Linked DNA regions of Arabidopsis thaliana. The protein of the gene in region 1 interacts with the protein of each later gene in a pairwise test. Each region holds a gene or a part of one and is shown in the gene's direction. Other genes may lie near its edges.

Region 1 (5,039 bases):
TCCTCGTCCCTCTTTGAAGTCCACGTGAACTTCACGTGCATAGCCGTCACTCAATGTCGGAATACATTGTTTTTATTTTTCTTCTTCTGTGAATTATTTAGTTCTTCCTAATTATATACCTTCCCATGATTCGTGTTCGTTGCCCACACATTACTATCTCTCTTTTACTCACCTAAAAAGGCACACTATAACCTTATGTATCAAGTGACCGTTTTTTAAGATGAAAAGTGTTGACTGCTATATTTTATCATATACTATTTTAAACCAATCAGTCGTGTCAATTCTGTATATATGTTTTTTTCTCCTTTAGAAGCTAGGGTTGAACACCTTACAAATCGAAAGCAAGGCATTGTAAAAAACCACGTACCCTTCTACTAATTAAGCCTTCCACAAATTTAATATAATTTTAGTGTTCGAATGGTGATAAAGGATAGTGCAGAACATGATGCTAAAAACGAAAGCAATATATGGTTATGATAGAAGAGATTGACCAAAACATGTTGAACAAACATAATAGAATTATTAACATAACATGTGTTCAACTCATTTTATTGGTTATTTTGTGCAAGTGTGGTGTTTTAAATTTTTCTTTAAACATGCATTCCAAATTCATGTGAGCGAAGGTGTGAAAGCTTTAATGTATTTGCTGCTTGTGGCCAATCTTTAATTATTCCACCACATTATTCATTCCCTTAAATGTACTAAACAAATTGTAAGGAATATAATTTAAGGTTTTTGGTACGAAGTAATGAAGGCATGAAAGCGTTTATGTCTTTGCTCCTTATGGCCAATCTTTATCCTCCCGTTGTTGTGTCTCAAACTCGGAACCTTAACTTCCTCCTTGATCAAGAAATACTAGTTCAACTATAACAGACGTATATATAATTCTCATACACCAAAATAGGACCTTAATCTCAAAGACCTGCAACGTCGATGATACGTAAGTTGTCTTGTGTCAACACATTACATGATAATCTATGGCTGAAGAAATTTCGTTAAAATGGTACAAAGAGAAGGGTTTAAAAATATGTTTCGTATACGTACAAAGTAAATTAAAGCAGGCTATGTTCAATTAATCGCATGGTGTGGAATATTATAACACTGTTGAAGACGACAAAATAGAGTACAATGTTTAAATATAAAGAAAGAAAACTCGGGAAGATTCGTGGTTATAGACTCCTAGTCACTGGTGTAAAATAATAATCTATAGGAAAGATGGGAAAAAGAGGAGCACACTGCTTTTCAAAGGAAAATGAGTGGTCTCGAGCTCCGAAAACAAAGAAAAAATAACCTACAAAATTGACTAATTAACAGTAAAAACTAAAATAACCAAAGACAAAGACAGTTTATGTTATATTATACATATATACCCAATAGTTATCCACAAATGATCGGATCGCTTGTTTACTACTTCCTCCAAAATTTGGTCATCTTCGGGATCCACACCACGTCTCTTGTCCAGAATTGTCGTCAGCCACCTTATTTTTATGTTTACTTATTCTGATGGGATGCGACAATGTTTTCGTTACATGAAGTTCTTAAAAATATCTGATCAAAAAGAATGAAGCTCTTAAATATTTTGAAACATAACCAACAAACATTTCTTTTATATAAAGTTAAAATGAAAATTTTAAACATCCAAAAATTTCCATCAAATATATCTTGCCTTAACAAAACAGATACATGTTTTCTTGTTGGATAAATTATTTCATAATTTGGATCAAGTGAAACAAAATGTTTCTCCACTTTTAACTACGTTTGTACATTGTGCAAAAATCTAGAGAACAAGTATATCTGGAAGAAATGTAACCATGCAAGTGTATTCTCTCATTTAGGGTAAGTACATCCCATTAAACATAAAAATAGAAAAGTATATGTATATCCAATTCGTCTCATACATGCATACCACACAATTAATGATTCTTTATTCAATTACATCTTTTTACATAAAAACAGATGGCATAAGTGTAAATAAAGGGAAAGACGACCCAAGAATAAGGGGTCACAGTCGTTGAGGTTATAAAAAGCATCTCATAGGACTCAACCTCACCAAAGTCATATCCTATTGCATCACTCTCCTTTAAACACAGTCAGAGAAAACAGCAACTCTTGTCTGAAAAACTAGAGAGAGAAAATGGATCATGGTAGGTTAATGGATGATCAAATGATGCTAGGCTCTCAAGTGTACCCCTACACGACCCAACCCCAAAATTCACACTGCATCATCGTTAACCAGATCGATGGAGGCGAAGAATCAAAACCGGTGAAGCGGAGGAGGAAGAGGAGGAGTAAAGGTTCATCAGCCACCAACGAAGAAGACGTGGCGGAGATCGGAGGGATGTTGAGGAAGAGGAAGTTGACCGATGAACAAGTGAACATGCTCGAATATAGCTTCGGGAACGAGCATAAGCTGGAGTCAGGGAGGAAGGAGAAGATCGCCGGAGAGTTAGGTCTTGACCCGAGACAGGTGGCTGTTTGGTTCCAGAACCGCCGTGCACGTTGGAAGAACAAGAAACTAGAGGAAGAGTACGCCAAACTCAAAAACCACCACGACAACGTCGTACTCGGCCAATGCCAACTCGAGTCTCAGGTATAAATTTTATGTTTTTTCACTATAAAACAGAGTAAATTTGGTGATTCTTAATTTCATGTTGCTTGTTTTTTCGAAAGATGAGTAATTTTATCCGTTCTTAGATAATTAACATATAGTTTATTCGTCAATTAGTATATTTTGAGTATTTATTACACATATGTGAAATGTAGTTGAATCGAATTTTACAACTAGTGAAAATCCGGTAGCTAGCTAAAAAACACATGTTTGGGACCACACCACAAATATAATAAAGTGGGATATTTCGTCATCTCATTCTTATCCACCATTAAAAAAAAAAAAAAAGTTCCGTCCGTACAATCTCAGTTGGGCTCATGAGTGGCCCATTTACAGTTGCCCACTCATTTAATGCCACGTAAAAAACCCTTCTCTGCATTTGGGCTGACATGCCAGAAAATATCCTCCTCATTTGATGAATAACAAAATTAATTTATAACAATTTTTTTCTTTTGACATTAACTTTGCATTGTATTAAAACACTATTTATTTCACTGAATTGGTAGTAAAATATATCTTTTTTTTTTGGTTAACAAAATTACTCTTATTTTTGTTTATCTAGGTACTAAATAAGAGTTTTATATAAGATTTTCTTCTTCACATAGTGATTAACTATGGTATTAACTAATGATGTATTTTTTTGCTGTTGTAGATATTGAAACTAACAGAACAATTGAGTGAAGCTCAAAGTGAAATTCGAAAACTGTCGGAACGACTTGAAGAAATGCCAACCAACAGTTCAAGTTCATCGCTTTCTGTTGAAGCCAACAATGCACCAACTGATTTCGAGCTTGCCCCGGAAACTAATTATAACATCCCGTTTTATATGTTAGATAATAATTATTTACAAAGCATGGAGTATTGGGATGGTTTGTATGTATAATCAGTTTATCAACTAAATATCTCGTGCTTTATTGATGCAACTCATGTTATTATAAGTAATGTAGAAATAGGTGTTGGTGAAACGGTTGTAATTATGTGTTGTTTTCAGTATTTATTTTAATATATTACTTTGTTTATTATCACTTTGCTTCTTCTAGTTCCATATATATAAATCTTTCAAAAAAAAAAAAGGTAACATATATTGATATTTGCTCATTTATCATAAGATATTATTAATGTTCAGTATACAATTAATTAGTTACCAAACAGTTGTTATTTATATCCAGCCGACATAGAAACTCTTGATTTCATTACTCAAATAGCTTATTCAAGAATTTATTAAAAATCCTGTATAGATAAAGTTCCTTAATTGTCAACCAGATTAAGTTGTTATTAAAGATGGAGGTAGAACGAATTTATTAGATCTAGATATTTAAAGGACTAAGATAAATTTATGTAATCTACTAATACATTCATGTTAATTTATCAAATTAATCATTATCAGAACAAAACCTACCACAATTATTATAGTTTCTTCCTTCATAAATCTTTATATTGGTCAACAATCTTCATATATAAGTTTATCTATATTACAGACGCATATTACAAAAAAAAAGAATAGAAATGAAATATGTTTGAATTTGTTATTTCGTAGACGATATTATAATAAAGTCTTTCCTTATTTTCCCTCCAGTTCCACATCGAGAGCCCTTTTTGAAAAATATTACTTTTTCAGAAAAGCCCTCTTATTTTATAGAGTTAACAGAAACACCCCAAACATTTCGGGTGTATAAATATAGAGCGTCACACTTTTTACTCAGCGTCGTCTTCATCGCTCACTCCAGAAATGAGACCTCGCGGGTATCAACGAGCTCCGTCAATGCAGAAACCAACAGATTATCCGACGGATAAGACGCTTCATCCGAATTACCCATTTCTCATGTCCTCTCATGGTCTCAAGTCCTTTGAATCGGACGACGAAGACGACGACTCCGACTCCTCCAACGATCAATTCGCTTTCACTATCAACACAGAGTTGCTTGTCGATGTCAAAGACATATCTATAGGGGACTTCATCGGCGAAGGTTCATCATCTACTGTCTACAGAGGATTGTGGGTTTCTCGTTTCTCAATCTCCTACTTCGAAATTGCTTCTGGGTTTGGTGCAAAAATTGCAGATTTTGTTTTCCTGTTTATCCTTTCTTGATTTCGGTATTTATTCGAAGAGTATAGGTTTCAGGGTATATTGGTGATTTAATTTTGGGTTTAACCTTGAAATTTGGAATCTTTCATGCTGGTTAGTGTTAGGTTTTGTCACTCTTAGGTTTATGTAGTCTCAGCTCTAGTGTTTCCTACACAATGCCTCAAAAAAGGATTAATGTTACAGAGAAACCATGAATTACAATAAGAAGGAAGATTCTGATGTGGGTGTTTGAATGAGTAATCTTTGTATTGTGGCATACTTGTTACTGATTTTTGGAATTTGGATATGGGTTAAAGAACATTTCTTTATCCATGATTATAGGTTCAGGAGAGTTGTCCCTGTGTC
Region 2 (5,868 bases), on another chromosome or scaffold:
GTTGTGATATTTCAAGCTTTTCTTCTTTAATAATTGAAACATACCTGAAAATTTTCATCTCATTAGATACCACATCTTTACCAAGTGACAAACAATATATTCTTTGTATAACATTGTACCTTCTAGCATCAAAATGGTCAACACCGAGATCTTCATCCCATAGAAAAATGTAAGAATAAGCTGAGACAATATCCGGGTGTAGAAAACGCTTTGCAAACCACCTAAAAGAGTCACAAACATATTCAAACTGTACAGCCAAATGTAAAAAATCCTCGTCGGGTTTTACGATTATAACAGAACAGTTACCATTTGGTTTGGTTTACTACAGAAATATGAATGGCAGTGTCACTCCACTCAAACTCCTTCCATTCATCCACAGCACCATCGTAGTGAAACAGCATCACAACAAACTCACTTGATGGAAACTGCCATATAAGAAAGTGGAAAAACAGAGATATCACATCAAAACTGTTTCATTACCGAGAAGGTAATGTCCGAGGTTTTACCTTCTTGACAATCTTGTTGACACTTTCCTTTTGTCTTATTCCAACTGCCATAGCTAATAAGCTTGGTTTCGGTTTCTAAGCAAACAAAAACAGAAAATATAGCGTTAAAGGAATGACAACAGAGAAACTTGTGAACGTTTGGCAACAGGTAAAGATACCTTATCGCGCTTTGCTCCCCATAACGGTCGCATTTCCAAGTCAGATGTACTTGCAACAATACCTCGCGGTAACGTCTCGCTACCAGGAGGCCTAAGTTGTGTCTAATTAAGCAAAGCAACATGAAAAAATGTTAAGATTCATATAGAAAGGGAACTTTGTTTTGAGCAGCTTATTCAACAGACCTTGCACATCTTTAGTTTAGCAAGATTTAGTCTAATTATCGAACTCCATCCCGCGATACCCTGTCAATTAGTACACTCAAAACTGTTCTATAACATTATTCAGATTCAAGATAATGCTTAAAAGTTGCAGTCTAAGAACTCATACCTCTTTATAGTCTACTGTAATAAAAGCATTCCCTATAAGGAAGATCATTGCAAGAAAAAACACTAAAGAGAACAAGCGACGAAGAGACAAGCCCTTTCGTTTTTGATTCATACTTAATGATCCCTGAAAAGGCAACGAATAAAGAAGATCCATAACACATTAAACTCAAATCACAAGAACCTAATCAGTATTTAAACCCAAACACACACAAAATGACATTAATAGGGAAAGTAGTATGATCTCATTGAACAACAATGCCACAATAAAGATTCAAGATTGTGAAAGACTTGAGAGTTTTAATTGTGTAAACTCATAACGATCCACAGTTTCGTAGAGAATGGGCATATAAGTAGAACATCAACACATGAAGAAGATAAAAGACTTGAAATTTCATGATTGAAAACTTCAATTGGATTCTTGAGCTAATGAAATTTCAGAACTTTTTTGGTTTATTTCGACAACTTTTGAATCCAGAAATGGCAAAATGGGAGACAAACAAAAAGAACTAAACAAGACAAGAAGAAAAGAACGAAGAGCAAGAGAAAAAAGCTTACAGAGCTCAAAATCTTGGGTTTCTTGTTCATTTTTCAAGAACAGTGGTCTAAATATAGCGAAGCTCTTTCTTTAAAATCAAATAAGTAAAGTGTAGAGTCATAGTGTTAGAATACCTTATTTTTGTCAGAATTGGTTATTTTACAAAATTATAACTACTACTTTAGTTCCTTAAAGTTAGCTTCGAATAGGAAAATAAAATAAAATTGGGTATGAAAGCAATTACTGTAAGAAGGTCAACAAGTCAACCGTTTTAAACAAAAGTGATATTTTACTAAATTCGAAATCGAAATTTGCGTGTAGGAATCGTCGCAAAAGAAGGTTTTTATGGCTTAAAATGAGTGACCAAATGTCATTAAAGGTTCGCACGTGTATTGTTTTGCTATGCATTTCTCCACTTTATATAAGTAACGTATGATGCGATGTCCATGTGACCAGCTTTTGCTTAGATTTGTTACAAGAGAAAAGATCTAAGAAAATTAGGGTGAATAATATAACAAATAATTTTCTTTTCACTCGGAAAATTATACAAATTGTTTTAGGGTCAAATTTATCTTTATAGGATAAAGTTATTCATTTACATCTACATTGAAGAAGAAAATAAAATTTGGATTAAGGTATATGAGGAGCAATGTAAGATACATTAAACCGGTTCGTAAGATACATTAAACCGGTTTAATGTTCAGAAAAATCGAACCGGATTAAGTTTTAGGAAAATAGAACCGGATTAATTTCGTGAATCAAACATACCGGATTAACAGAGCTTGATCTGAAACTTAACGAACTCGATCCATAAAGGGTTTTGTTTTGTGAGTTGGATCTGGCTTATTCCGATGATGACCGGAGATCTGAAACTTGATGAACCTTACGTAGGTTTGAAATTCGAATCAGAAGAAGAAGCTAAAGATTTCTATGTAGAATACTCCAAAAGATTAGGGTTTGTTGTGCGTATGATGCAGAGACGAAGATCAGGTATTGATGGAAGAACACTAGCGAGAAGATTAGGTTGTAACAAGCAAGGCTTTGGTCCTAATAATCAACGATCATCTAGTTCTAGTTCTAGTTCACGAGAAGGTTGCAAAGCTACGATTTTGGTGAAAATGGAGAAATCTGGGAAATGGGTTGTTACTAGATTCATCAAAGAACACAATCACTCTCTTCAATTCATTGGGTCTTCTTCTTATGATTCTTTTGTACGTTTTCAAAGTTTGTATCTTTGGGTCTTTTTGATTTGCTTTGCTATTACATGACTTGGATGCTTGAAGAAGACAGATTTGTGTTACTGTTTTTTGCATCTTTGGTTCTTGTTTGCTACTACAAGGCTTGATGTGTTGAAGAAAGAGTGTGCATCTTTGGGTCTTTTTTATTTGCTATTACATGACTTGGTTGGTTGATGAAGAGAGATTTGTGTTATTGTTTTTTGCATCTTTGAGTCGTCAAATTTTGATTCTTTGGGTCTTGTTTTGCTATTACAAGACTTCGGTGGTTGAAAAAGAGAGATTTTTGTTACTGTGTTTCTGCAGCTTTGTCTCTTGTTTTGCTATTGCAAGATTTGGTTACTTGATTTGCCATTACAAACACTTGAAATTCCTTTGTACGTCTTCATATATTGCATCTTTGGGTCATCTTGATTTGCTATTACAAAGACTTGGTTGCTTGAAGAAAGTGAGGTTTATGTTACATTTTTTTTTTTTTTTTTGCATCTTTGGGTCTTAATTTGCTATTACAAGACTTGGTTACTTGATTTTCCTTTGTACGTCTTCCAAGTTTGCATCTTTTTGGTCTTTTTGCTTTGATATTACAAGAATTGGATGATTGATGCAGAGAGATTTGTGTTACTATTTTTGTAGGCTGATAAGGAAAGGAAGATTAAAGAGCTTACGGAGGAGATCGAGTGTCAGGACCGATTATGCGATGTGTATCGGGATCGATTGGTGAGTTTTATCGATAATGTTGAACATTATACGGAAGAATTGTCACTTAAAGTTCGAGATATTGTGGAGAATGTTAAGAAACTTGAATGTCAAATACAAACAAGAGCTTGATTCATCTATAAGCATTTGTCGAAAAATACCGAAGATTGCTCCTCCTTAGATCATAGTTTGTCCTAGCATTGAACATTCAATTATTTTAGCAGAAAACTAGTGTTAATTAGGCAAATTCAAAACATACAATTATCTATACAAAAATTATTGTTAAAAAAAGGGAATGTTTAATTGGAGCTAAGAGCAGCAAATCCACCACCTCTCATCATTTGTTTGAACTCCTTAAAATTAACCATACCATCTCCATCAACATCAACCTTACTTATCATCTTCTTGCAATCTTCAAGTGTTCTCCCTTGCTTCAACCCCATTGACGCGAGCACCGACCTCAGCTCTTCATCTGTAATGAACCCATCACCATTCTGATCAAATACTCTAAAGGCTTCTCTCATGTCCTCTTCTTCCTCTTTCTCTTCCACCATTTCTTGATACAATGATCCAAACTCATCGATATCCATGGCCCCGTCTCCATTCACATCCATCTTTGCTATCATCTCATTGATTTCATTTTCAGGGACCATGATTCCCACGCTTTTAAAGAAGTCTTTCAGCTCGTTTTTCGCAATCTTCCCGTCTCCATTCTTATCGAACATTTGGAACACTCTACTCAATTCTCCACGATCCATTCTTTATTGAAACCTTGATGATCTTTAAGCCAAAAACTAATGGAGAAGAAGAATCAAGATCAACACATAGATTCTAAAAGGAAGCCTAAGCAAGTGAAATCTTGTAACAGTTTAAACAAAACAGGACGTCGTGAGAAGACAGAAAATTTTACTAAAAGAAAAGACAGATGAGAGAGAGCTTAACGGATTCTGTTGATAGATTCAACACTTTTGGATCTTTCATTTTTCAGGCTAAAAATAGTTATATATGCCTTGAAATAGACTCTATGAATCATCTAATTCTGACACAATTAAGGAGAACCCCACTAGTTTAACCATAATTACTCGCCGAGCAATGGAGACACGAAATAGTAGCATGTTGAATTACATCGAATATTCATTTGTAGGTTGATAAACAAAAGAATTAAACTATGAAATTTGTTGCAATCAACCTTCCACGTAAAATCGTAAAAAAGAGACCTTGTAAGTATCTAGCTTCCTTAACCCATTCATAAACCTTGAGTACTTTTTACATAAGTAGCCAATTGATAGGTTGGATGTAATTCTTCACAAATATACTCAAGAAAATAACACACAATAGATAAGCTAAACCAACCCTAGTTCTAACTATTAAGTTTATGATGATTCTTACAACACCTTGAGTAAAGAACACTCTTCAGATCAAGCTGAATATCAACTTCATTTTTTGATGCATGCATTGTTTACCAAGGTTAATAAGCAACAATTTTAACAAAAAAAAGGTTAATAAGCAACAACAAAAGCGTTTAATGCACCAGAAATGTTGAGAAGCATGTCTTATGGGTCTCTCTGTCCCTGATTCTAGACTCATTCTAAGTGTTTGTACACTCTCTGTCCCTGATTCTAAGGTTGCAAAAGAACAAGAATTAGCAACATCTCGATCACTTGAATTTTCCTCAAGCGTGGTCTTCACATGAATTTTTGCTCACATCTTCAAGGTCACAAGGGTTTATGTTTGACCTTTCTTCTTGCATAGTGATTATCTTTGAGTTAATATCAAATTCATGTTCCTGTTCAAAATGGGCCACTCGTATATATATATATATATAATATGTATTTAAATTGTGGATATGTTCGAATATCTGTTCGGGTTCGGATTGGGTTCGGGTTTTAGGATTTAGAAGTTTAGAACTCGTTCGGGTATTCATAAATTTTGGGTTGGTTTTGAATATGGTTTTTTGGATCGGGTTCGGATCGGGTAATCGGGTTCTGTATTATACCCACCCCTACTTCTCACTGTCAGATCTGAAAACATGAATATTCATATCAAACGTGTTACAAATTACATTATATCTTATGACATTTTAATTCAATAATAAATGGCAATAAGTGAATTGATTCACAAATCTCATCACATTTTCGTTGTGGGATTTTTTAACGTCTCTTTTAAATTATTAGATTTTTTTGGGATGAAATATGTCTGAACAATATTCAGGTTGGATTAATGTATTTTTGTGGTTTATTTTTTTGTCGAGCCTCATTGGCCATTAGTAAGTGGTGATGGCGGCAACATATTTTAACGGACTAGAACACATCCCATGTTTTGGTTCTGCTACCGTATTGAATGTTCATTCATAGACTCATAGTCCATCTAAACATATACAATGAGAAATATTTAATTGGTTCTGATAACAT
Region 3 (6,482 bases), about 23 Mb from region 1:
GAAATGTTGTGCGTGTGTGGATAAAAACAAGACTAACACTTGGTGTGTGTTTGCAGATTGCGCAAGCGTGTAAGCCGGTGGTTCATAGAGCAGGATTCTGGGGATCAGTGAGGACCCTAGCTCGTGGATACGAGATAGTAATGGGACTGTTGCTGTTCACGCCAGTGGCGTTCTTGGCATGGTTTCCATTTGTGTCAGAGTTCCAAACGCGTATGCTCTTTAATCAAGCTTTCAGTAGAGGTCTTCAGATCTCTCGTATCCTTGGAGGTCATCGTAAGGATCGCTCTTCTCGAAACAAGGAATGATTCATCTCTTCATTGTAATGACAGGGAAGGGATCTTAATTTATCCCTTTTTTATCTTCATGGATGATTAGGGTTAATGTAATTTAGTTTTCAATATATCGCTTAGGTAAAAACATTGTAGTATTCATCTATAAATTAGACGTTATCTATCATTTAATGACTGTTTAATTATTTAGTTGAAGACCTCCATTGGTCCATGTCGAGGAAGATAAGGAACTTACTAACAACTTTTGCTTGGCCTATAAGATACAGCGACAACAAAGCTTTCAAAAATTCCCTAGTTACCAACTGGGTTCATTAATGGGCCGATAAGGAAAGCCCACGATCTTCTAAGAAGGATTAGCCCTAGTTTCCTCTGCTTCGTTGAAAGACAACTTAAAAAATGGCGGGAAGTTGTGACAATGTTTGGTTCGACAAATAAGCGGAGACGTGGCGGCGATACGTGGCACCACGACATTTGTACGAGAATGATAATTTGTCTTGGTTCGAGCCAGCCTGTAAACGGTAATCTGTGTCCGTACAGCTTAAATCTCATCCCAAAAAGAACAACCAAAATGACGGATTTGGCCCCAACAAAGCTGTAAAACGAGGTTAAAACCCGGAACTTTCACCTTATTAGACGACGACACACCTCTCGTCACTCTTGTCGAGACTCTTACCACAAAGAGGTTTTTGAAATGGCGGCGATGAAATACAAAGGAAGCGTTTTTATCATATTAGTCATCCTTCTTCTTTCGTCCTCACTACTTGCTCACTCTTCTTCTACAAAATGTAAGTGTCATGTGATATGTTTAATAATATTCTCATCTTTATTCATCGTTTGGGTTCAAAACATGATGAATCAATCCTCTTTGTTCTTTTTGTTTCTAGCCTTCTTTTGGTTAGGAGAAACACAAGATACGAAAGCCATGAAAAAGGTAAGAAAATCTCTTCCTAGAAACACAACGCGACTGTTTTGAAGGAAATGAACAATTCGTTTCTTATTTTTACAATAAAAAGTATGAAACTTTTTGTTTTCTAGCTAGCTCTTTGCATTTGATATTCGTTTGTATTTTTCTATATGATTTTGATGCAAAGATGATTAATTTTTTGTTTTGGTACTGAAAACAGGAGAAGAAGATTGATGGAGGAACAGCTAATGAAGTTGAAGAAAGACAAGTTCCAACTGGATCCGACCCTCTTCATCATAAACACATTCCTTTTACTCCATAGATTCATTCCTTATATCTTTTTTCTGTATCTTCTGTTTCCCATTGTTGACATATTAGTTTGTAATGCTTTTCACATTCTAGTTTTGAGTTTTGTTTATCCGAATGTTAAATTTCTATTTCAGGTTGAAAATGATTAACTTCGTTATTTACTATAGAGTATTTCAATTACTTCAGCCAAGATTTTGTGGATGCTTTGGAAAGATGCCAAAGCGTAACAACTTCCAATTCAATTTTTGTGATGAGTTAGTTCTCAAGATGAAGTCGGAAGCATTCGTGACATCAATTGTATATATAAATTTTGGGTTTAGAGTGTTTTAAGTTGGTATCAAATCACAATTAATTATTCTGTGACATTTGTTTCTAGAAGAAACTTGGGAAAACCGATCTTTTGGATGTGAAGTGGTAGATTGGTTGTCTAAGGTTTTGTACTAGAATTTTGTCTGATTTTAGTTTTAAAACGGTAAGATATATTTTCTTTATAAGGACAATATGGTGTATCTAGTTCTAATTTTGTGACTGTATATAGATTTGTTGATGCTAGATTGTTTGTCAATAAAATTATTGCATTGACCTTAATTAGTTTCGGTAGCCAATCGACCACTACTTGTTGAGTTTTGGAGCCACATATTCCCCTTGCATGTTACACCGAGTGACACGACAAATTCATGTTAAACAAAAATAAAAGGATATACGGTTAAACTATTTATTGTACCGCAATAAATAAAGATATTAAATCAGTTTATTTTGGCGCCACAAACAAAGTAGATATAGTGTGTGTTTTTTTGGCTTGTTGATATCAAAATACCTATGTTTTTTTATTGTCTTCTACATTAGCTAAGTCATAATGTGAATCATGTAAATCTTATAATCTATCTTTCAGAATCTTAAGTTGTGTGAGGCACGGGAGAGTCACGTGAGAGTTTTTTTTTTTTTTTCACAAGTCACGTGAGATTTAGATTTGAACAAATCCCGTAACGGAGCAAGCGAGGCACGTGACATACACGCCCCCCTTAGGTCCTATAAATACATCTCCTCCTTTCACTGTCACAAGTAGCGATTCTCTCTGCGGCGCGTGTAAACGGTGACGGGGCTCTAATGGCTAATCTTCCTCCTCCGCTCTCCATGAAATCTGTCGCCCTCTCAGGAGCTTCTTCTCCTTCTTCTTCCTCCAACAACGATCGGAAGCTATCATCGGCGGAGCAGTTAATTCTCGATCTCAGCAATCCCGAACTCAGAGAAAATGCACTTCACGAGTTGTCTAAGGTCATCTCTCTCTCACCGAATTCTCTTACTCGCGAATTTTTGATCGTTTGGGTTTTCGTTTTCTGCGTTCTATTGAATGGAATTTCGAATGTATTTGGTTGTTTAGTCCGGTGAATCGTAGACATGCTTTTAGATTACCGACTCCTAATTCTTCCTTGCCGCAAATTTTGAGGGAATTTGTACGATTATTGTTGAGATTGTAAACCTGCATGAATAGGGGATGAAATTAAATAATCGAAATAGTTCAACACTGATTAAGGCGTTGATCTCGATTGGTGAGCAATTTAAGTTGGTATGAGGATTCTTCACTGAAGTTAAACGTCTGGACAATTAAAAAATCAAATGGTTTTGATGTTTACTGTACTCATTGCTTTTGATTTCATACATTAAGAAGTTCTTCTCACTGAAATTCATGTCTAATCCCGTGTTTCATTATTTCAGAAGAGAGAGATCTTTCAAGATTTGGCTCCGCTTTTATGGCATTCTGTTGGTACCATTCCTGCTCTTCTACAGGTACCCTCTCCTCCATGTTATTATATGGCACTTGTTCCTTTATTCTTCAGGGGAATTTATTTATTGATTTCTGGCTTCTCTATATACTGTTATAGTTTTAGCATTTTAACTTTTGAGATTTGATGTACATTGTATTGGTTAAGATCTAGTCATTTTCTTTCTTTCCTCTTTTCAGGAGATTATCGCAGTTTACCCTGCCCTATCTCCTCCAACCATGACTCCTGCTCAATCTAACAGGGTGTGCAATGCACTTGCTCTTCTTCAGGTGCATAAAATATTGTCAGTTTCCTCTTTCTTTTTTAGGGAGACTTACAAACGTTTATATATGTATGTTCAATTTGGAAGACTCTATTTTTTATTGATTCGACTCTTTTTTCGTACATCCAGTGTGTTGCTTCTCATACTGATACGAGAATGTTGTTCCTAAAAGGTACAGTCCTGTGCCCGAACAATTCTTCCTTAGTTCTCATTCAAATAATTTCGGTGTTTGCTCTGTGACTAAAGTTATAGAGATAGATTGCATTAGTTGAATACCCAACCCGTCTACCAAAACTAGTTTTAAGAGCCACCTTGTTGGTCTCTTTCTGATTGATCTCATTTATTAGATGTGTGTTTGGCTATAATATGCTTAAAGTTTAAAGTCTGTTGCTTTTCAAAATACAGCCCATCTGCCATTGTACCTGTATGCTTTCTTGAATACATCAAGCAAATCAAGACCGTTTGAGTACCTGCGGCTGACTAGCTTGGGGGTTATTGGTGCACTTGTTAAGGTATGTATTGATATTTGAGTTTTGTTTCCTCGTCTAGTTATTTAGTATGTTTATGCCAAAAAGGCAGGAACACTTCTTTTACATGCTAACAACTGTTTGGCTGTAAATAAATATTTTGGTGATTTGAGAAACAACGATTTTAGCATGCTAAGACCTTTGAGTAGATCCTGTTAAGACATCATTAGTGATATTGGTCTTGCAACATCGTTCATTTGGTTTGGTAGGTTGATGATACTGAAGTGATCAGATTCCTTCTTCAAACTGAGATTGTCCCATTGTGCCTCCGGACAATGGAGAATGGCAGCGAGTTATCAAAGACTGTAAGTTTGTCTATCTTCAGATGCTTCTCTTTAGATTCACATGCTTGAAAAATGTATATCAAGTTTCCTATCATTTATACAGCCAGTTGCAAATATCTGAAATCTTTGCTTCATACAAAGAACTTGTATAAGTTTTCTTCTGCAATTGATGTTTCTGATTGGTTTTGGTCATGTACAGTTCATCTGATTGATTTATTTGAACGGTTATGTCAGGTTGCTACTTTCATTGTTCAGAAAGTTTTGCTGGACGATGTTGGGCTTGAGTACATGTGCACGACAGCGGAGAGATTCTTTGCTCTGGGTCGGGTTTTGGGAAATATGGTTACTTCACTTGCAGAAGGACCGTCCGCTAGGCTACTAAAGCACATCATACGCTGCTATCTTCGCTTGACAGATAACCCCAGGTGCAATAATTATCCATTTTCCTTCATTTGAAAACCATATTATACACTCGTGCTTACACAATACAGTTACTGATGACATTCAGAGCATGCGATGCACTTGGAAGTTGCCTTCCAGATCTTCTGAGGGATGCTACTTTCAGTGGTTGTCTCTATGTAAGTGTCATATCTCTTGATAGCATCATAACCAATTATTAGTGATTCTGATACCAAATTGTTATCTATCAGTTTATTGTTATCACGACTCAATTCTTTTGATACTTGAGACTTGACTGTTTTTAGCTAATCGTCTCACTTAATTTGGCAGGATGACCCACCTGCAATGCAATGGCTGCAGCAACTGCTCCACAACGTTAACGTTGGCGGGAGAGCACCTCAAGGGTTGGCTCATATGTTTGTGAATTAAATCGAACCCTTATAGTCTGGGCAGAAACTGTTATTCATTGGACAAAAAAAGTTAGTTGGAAACAGAATTACAGATGAGAAACAGAAACCCAACCAAAGATTTTGAGTTTGATGGATATATGTATTTGGATTTCTTGACCGTCTTATGATGTTGCAATCAATATAACTAAAATTCCATTGAAAAGACCGAATTAAGCATTAAACCCAAAGTTTTTTTAAATCCAACAAACGTTTTACAAAAGCTGATGCAGATAAATTTATCTATAATAGACTGTCAGATCTTGCAGGTAGCCTCCTGAAGAGATTGAGCGGCACAGAGGGTAGCTTGTGCCTGAACCTTGGATGCCTCAGCACATAGATCCCAGCAAGAAGTGCAACAACCTGAAACGGCGTAACATACAACACGATAGCAGCTATGAGACAGAAAAGCACAAACAATGTGGTTGCCCTCGGGTCTCTCCAGCTCAGCAGCGATAAAAACCGCTCTCCCTGTGTTGCTAGATCGCCTATCACGGTCTGAACCCGTCCTCCTATGCTTCTGAGCCGGTCATATCGCATCCGCACAATCTCAGAGGATCGGGAAGTCGGGAAAGTATCAAACTCTTCATCAAGCTCGTCGGGGTGAACAGCGTCTGCATGGGACAACCGTGTGTCCATGTGTGGCGGGTGCCTTGGTCTCCACCGGAAATTCCAGATCCCAATCAAGAAAAGGTACAAGAAAACCGTTGGGAGGATTAATTCCGGGTAAAGAACTAAGATAATGAAAAGAACATGAATGAGAATTGTGGTTATTGGGTTTCTCCAGTTGCAGATCTGATCAAACCATTTTCCAACAGCAATGAGACCACTCAGAACATTCATGATTCTGAAGAAGTTAGCTTTACTCCTCCTCATGCTCCACATATGGGAGTCAACATCGAGCATGTACTCCACAATCTCTTTGCGAAGAGGCGGCTCTGCGCGGTTCAGCCTTGCCGAGACAATGTTCATCGCCTGGTGTCTCAGGCTGTCCAGCTGGAGAACCGATAACGGATGGATGTAATGCATTTTGGGTAGTAATGGCTGAGAATACATATGAAGCATGTTGATGAGAGATAGGCAAGTGAACCGCACAGCTAACTGTATTTCACCTGTCTTCTTGATCCCAGAAGGATGAAAGACGAGTAGCGGATATGAATGAGTGTAGATACGGTCAGCTTCAAGGGTAGAGAGCCGGATTCTCACTTTCCCGATTCTCAAGTCTTTTCCGCTTCCGCCTGGAATGTGTCCGTTGTCGAATGCTCCAAAAGTTATGA
Region 4 (4,788 bases), on another chromosome or scaffold:
CACTTCAATGGAACTTTGCCAACAGAGTACTTTGTGAAGTGGAGTGCTATGTCATCACTTGGAAAAAACGAAGACCAGTCTAACGAAAAGTACATGGGATCAGGCCTTTACTACCAAGATTCAATGGTTTTGATGAATAAAGGTTTAGCGATGGAGCTGGTACGTATTCTAACAATCTACACAGCACTCGACTTTTCCGGAAACAAATTTGAAGGAGAGATTCCAAAGTCCATTGGTCTATTGAAAGAGCTTCTCGTGCTCAACTTGTCAAACAATGCTTTTGGTGGCCACATCCCATCATCTATGGGGAACCTGACAGCTCTCGAGTCATTGGACGTTTCCCAGAACAAGCTTACAGGAGAGATTCCACAAGAGCTAGGGGACCTTTCGTTCCTTGCGTATATGAACTTCTCTCATAACCAGCTTGCAGGCCTAGTACCAGGAGGTACGCAGTTTCGAAGGCAAAATTGCTCTGCCTTTGAGAATAACCTGGGACTTTTTGGCCCTTCTCTTGACGAAGTCTGCAGAGATAAACATACGCCAGCATCACAACAGAATGAAACGACAGAAACAGAGGAAGAAGACGAAGAAGAGATAAGCTGGATAGCAGCCGCAATAGGATTCATACCTGGAATTGTCTTTGGATTAACGATTGGATACATATTGGTTTCCTACAAACCAGAGTGGTTCATGAACCCTTTTGGCCGAAACAATCGTCGACGCAGAAACACCACCACCCACTAGAGAGGTAATGTTCCGACTTTTGAACGAGTTTGGTAGCTTTCCATCAGAATGAATTTTATTTCTGTTTTAACAACTTATTTTCGTTGTTATAGGCTTATAACCTATCTGAATAATCTGGAAGAGGAAAGTCAAAGTAACCGGACGAACTCCTTGACGTTAACCAACCACTCTTTTAGCCATTTTCAAATCCAGATTGTTTCCGGTTTAGCTTGTGTTTTTCTCTTCTACTCTGTTTTTAGCCAACTTTGTAATTGAACAACTCTGTTTTTCGCTCTTTAGATGTACATGTAAAGTTGTTTTTTCCCGCGAGTTTGTTGTTATCATTTCTTTCCCCATTGCACTCTCGTATCTAAAAATGTATGTCTATTTGTTCGTATCAATTAAGACGCAGAAATACAGAGCAATTATAGAATTGGGGAATATTTGATCAAAAAGCCATTTTTACTGTATTTTGATAAACTAAACCTTATACATGGATATATTTGAAGTCAGTTGTGTCTGGTTCTTTATTAGACATTTATCTGCTATTTTGCAGCAGCAAGCTGTTTCATTCTCGACATTTTCAAGTAGTTTATACGAGAATGGAGAAGTGTGTTTTGATGATGAGTTTTTGGGTTTTTGGTAATGGCTTAAGGAAAGGGAGTGATTATATGCTAAGCTCTGTGAACTACTAGAAAAGTTTAGGTAAGCCTATGGGATTATAATCCATAGTGGAAAAGGAATGGAAAGCATTACATATTACGATTTAATTTATGAAATGACAAGATAAGAAGATTTAATTAAGTAAATGACAATTCTTTTTAAGTTGCTACTAGCAATTTCTTTAAACCATTACTTGTTTGTATATTTATACTCATTCACAAAGGTTAAGAGATAACAATATTATCGTTTTGTGTACTCATTATAAAGGTTAAAAGATTTAAGGTCCTTAAGATTTATGAATATTTGATTTAACAAAAGAAATTTTAAGTTTTGAGTTAAGTTTTTCTTGTTATTGGTATAAATTCACAACCAAAATGAATGATGAGTAGAAGAGGAAGCCAAAGAAAGAAGAGAAAATGGATAGTGAAGGGGACGGTGGTGATGGTGGTGGGCTTCTCATTCTCTCACTTTTCTTGTCAAATGTCTTGTCTTCTCCATTTCCACACTCCAATTTTTATATGCTACCTGTGATTTTATTTATTTTATTATTTGACTTTCTTTTGCTTAAGCTATGTATAATCTACAATAAGAACCACAAAAAGTGATATAAGCTCAGTTCTATATTGGTGCCCACTTTGTAAGAAATTTCCTCTTCAATTTGGAGCAAAGTGAAAGCTATTTTGTATTTTGCTTGATTGACTTGTTTCCACTAATCCAAAAGTCTTGCTTCTCTTGTTTCTTCTTCTATAAAAGAGAAAATTAGCTGATGTGTTGTTACTTTAACTCTCTCTATCTCTATAGTACCTTTGATTTTTCAATATATGATTATGATTTATGGACTCGAACTCACGACCAATCATGTAATTAGCAAGGAAAAGCTCAAAGCCAACACAAATGATGAATAGGCCCATGCCTTGTCCCATTTGTTTCCTTCTCTCTATTACTTTCAAAAACACTCTTCTTCACAAAAAGTTAAAAGACTCTTATCAATATATAAAGGAAGCACGAGATAAAACTTAGAAAAAACGAGAGCCTAACATTTACCACCAAAAAATCAAAACAAACAAACAAAAAGTTTGAGATGAGAGGGCATGAGCCACGATCAAGCTCATCTTGTGCAGCCTGCAAGCTCTTGAAGAGACGATGCACACCCACTTGCATTTTCGCTCCTTATTTCCGCTCAAGTGACTTGATAACTTTCGCCAAAGTCCATAAAGTCTTTGGAGCCAGCAACGTCAGTAAGCTTCTCGGTGAAGTTCCTGAAGAACAGAGACAAGAAACCGTTAACTCCTTGGCTTATGAAGCTGAGGTTCGTCTCAAGGATCCTGTTTACGGTTGCATTGGAGCCATAGCGTCTCTGCAGAAGAAGATGCTCGAGCTTCAACACGATCTAGCTGTTGCTCGCACTCGACTACTTGCCCATTCTGGGGTCAACAACAGCCAAGTGTCCCCTTTGGATGATTCTCCTGAGCTTGCTGCTTTTCTTGATCTTGTACCTTATAGTGACTTGATGTTGCTTGATGGGTCTACTAATCTTGATGCTTACTTGTATGATCTTGGACAGCCTCCTTTTGTATAGGCCTTATCTCTCTATCATATATCTCTTTATCAGCTGTATTTGCACTTTGCTTTACAAGTTATCTTTGACAATCTAAAGTCTGTCCCTAATGTATGAATTCCAGTATGCATAATCAGATGCTTACTTCATCATATGTATGAAAAAGGGTTTTAACTTCAAAAGTAACCATCACATGCGATGAGATAACTCAGGTACAAGATGAGCCTTGGAAGGTCAGAGTCCTTACCAGTTTTGGACCAAGTGGTAGGCCAAGGTGAGTAAAGTGAGGTGTTTTAGATGAAGAGCTTCTTTGTAAGTCAGGTATGAATAGGAGAGCACATGCTTATGTCATCCCGAAATTCTACCAAACATGAAACATTGATATATATGCTTCTATGATGTTCTTTTTTGAGGCTCCAATAATACAGCCTCATGTGTCAACTCGTCTCCCTCAGGCCACAAGAGTCTTGTCCTGGAGATTCCAGAGTGCAGCAAAGTCACATAAGCAAACATCCAAATCAATAGCTTGGTGGGTTTGATCAAATTCCAAACTGAATTATGAATGACTCTGATAAGAGTTCTCCTCAGAACCGTTCTACGCATCTTGTTAAGTCTGTACACATTCCTGAAACCTGCCTAAGCAAAAGAGTAATTGCAGATCACAGAAAGAGAGATGAGCACAATTTGGAACTGCAGACACTGATACACAAACCATCATACATTGATACTTCACAAAAGTACATCTTGATATGTCAGATACTATGAGAGTTCTTTTGGTAATTCGCATTGCTACTACCAATGTAACTCTACAATGCTAAAAAAGAGAATGAAAAAGAAGAAGAAGAAAAAAAGCATCGCGCTATAACTTAAGAAAACCTAAAGATCAATAATAATAACATCTTCTCCAAATCGTATGAGCTTTAGATCCAACCATTGCTCCTTGCTTCACATCAGTAACTCCTCCACAATCTACAATCCTACAACTTCTTACCTATACAACAAACAAAGCACAACTGAAGTTTCAGTAAACTCATCAATCACAACAAAACACACATAAAAATGAAAACTTTACCTGAAGCAGCTCTTCGTTTCCCAAGTTTAGATTTCTCAAGCTCCAATTGCATCTCCATCAACATATTCATTCGTTGTAACTCAAGCTCCTTTGCAACTTCCATTCTCTGTTTCTCCAATTCAATCATCATCTGTTGCTTCTTCCCCTCGATTCTCTCAAACGCTTCCCCTAACTTCAGAATCGATCTCGCTAGCTCCCTAAAGGCTGATCCTTCACTCGAATCTACATCTTCAACTTTACGATGCTTCCTCACCACAAATCCCCAATCACCCGCATCATCATCATCTTCTTCGTCGTCATCATCATCATCATCATCGTCATCGAGAGAGCTACCAGTTGATTTAGATCCAGTAGGATTCAAATTAGGGTTCATCAACGCCGATTTAACAACAGCACCGGACGATTTCTTCATAACCGGACCGATTAAGAAATCGAGTCTATCAAAGAAGCACCAATTCGATAAAGGTTTCGCCTTTTCAGTTTTGTACTTCTTCTTCAACGTATCGATCCGGTTTTTGCACTGTACATCGGTCTTTGGCCGGCCATTCCCGTGGCTTGAATTGACGGCGTCGGCGACTTCTTTCCAATCGTTTTGCCGGAGATTTCCCCGGTTGAGATTGACGTAACGATCTCCCCAAGCTTCGATCAATGTCGCCGTAGCGTCTTCGCTCCACCAATCCTCTCTTCCCGCCGGTAGACGGTGAGTCTTCGACTGAGTCTCCGGCGTCGTCTCCATCTCGGAGTGGGAAAGAGAGGAGGCTAACGTGCGCGG

What was found.
Region 2: the proteins of HB53 (region 1) and AT4G12850 interact in a two-hybrid assay, tested with the Arabidopsis thaliana proteins (one large-scale study listed by BioGRID).
Region 3: the proteins of HB53 (region 1) and AT5G12980 interact in a two-hybrid assay, tested with the Arabidopsis thaliana proteins (one large-scale study listed by BioGRID).
Region 4: the proteins of HB53 (region 1) and LBD21 interact in a two-hybrid assay, tested with the Arabidopsis thaliana proteins (one large-scale study listed by BioGRID).

What each region holds. Positions count from the first base shown.
Region 1 is NC_003076.8:26,632,272-26,637,310, forward strand, and holds HB53 (homeobox 53), read left to right. Parts: upstream 1-2,003; 5' UTR 2,004-2,134; coding exon 2,135-2,590; intron 2,591-3,260; coding exon 3,261-3,491; 3' UTR 3,492-3,614; downstream 3,615-5,039. Other genes in the region: AT5G66710 (Protein kinase superfamily protein), read left to right, coding at 4,338-4,603, 5,016-5,039. UniProt on the Arabidopsis thaliana protein: Probable transcription factor that may play a regulatory role in auxin/cytokinin signaling during root development.
Region 2 is NC_003075.7:7,534,688-7,540,555, forward strand, and holds AT4G12850 (Far-red impaired responsive (FAR1) family protein), read left to right. Parts: upstream 1-2,286; 5' UTR 2,287-2,377; coding exon 2,378-2,737; coding exon of another isoform or gene 2,738-2,794; exon of another isoform or gene 2,795-3,394; coding exon 3,395-3,589; 3' UTR 3,590-3,756; coding exon of another isoform or gene 3,757-4,215; 3' UTR 4,216-4,361; downstream 4,362-5,868. Other genes in the region: AT4G12840 (GTPase Der (DUF707)), read right to left, coding at 1-44, 120-221, 307-425, 507-581, 665-766, 848-907, 993-1,115, 1,547-1,576; UNE14 (EF hand calcium-binding protein family), read right to left, coding at 3,757-4,215.
Region 3 is NC_003076.8:4,104,268-4,110,749, reverse strand, and holds AT5G12980 (Cell differentiation, Rcd1-like protein), read left to right. Parts: upstream 1-2,517; 5' UTR 2,518-2,610; coding exon 2,611-2,778; intron 2,779-3,219; coding exon 3,220-3,291; intron 3,292-3,466; coding exon 3,467-3,556; intron 3,557-3,678; coding exon 3,679-3,721; intron 3,722-3,954; coding exon 3,955-4,061; intron 4,062-4,285; coding exon 4,286-4,381; intron 4,382-4,594; coding exon 4,595-4,785; intron 4,786-4,868; coding exon 4,869-4,938; intron 4,939-5,089; coding exon 5,090-5,188; 3' UTR 5,189-5,367; downstream 5,368-6,482. Other genes in the region: GSL12 (glucan synthase-like 12), read left to right, coding at 57-305; CLE40 (CLAVATA3/ESR-RELATED 40), read left to right, coding at 982-1,075, 1,175-1,221, 1,415-1,516; AT5G12970 (Calcium-dependent lipid-binding (CaLB domain) plant phosphoribosyltransferase family protein), read right to left, coding at 5,449-6,482.
Region 4 is NC_003074.8:3,472,569-3,477,356, forward strand, and holds LBD21 (LOB domain-containing protein 21), read left to right. Parts: upstream 1-2,353; 5' UTR 2,354-2,467; coding exon 2,468-2,965; 3' UTR 2,966-3,280; downstream 3,281-4,788. Other genes in the region: RLP35 (receptor like protein 35), read left to right, coding at 1-744; AT3G11100 (sequence-specific DNA binding transcription factor), read right to left, coding at 3,922-3,935, 4,017-4,752.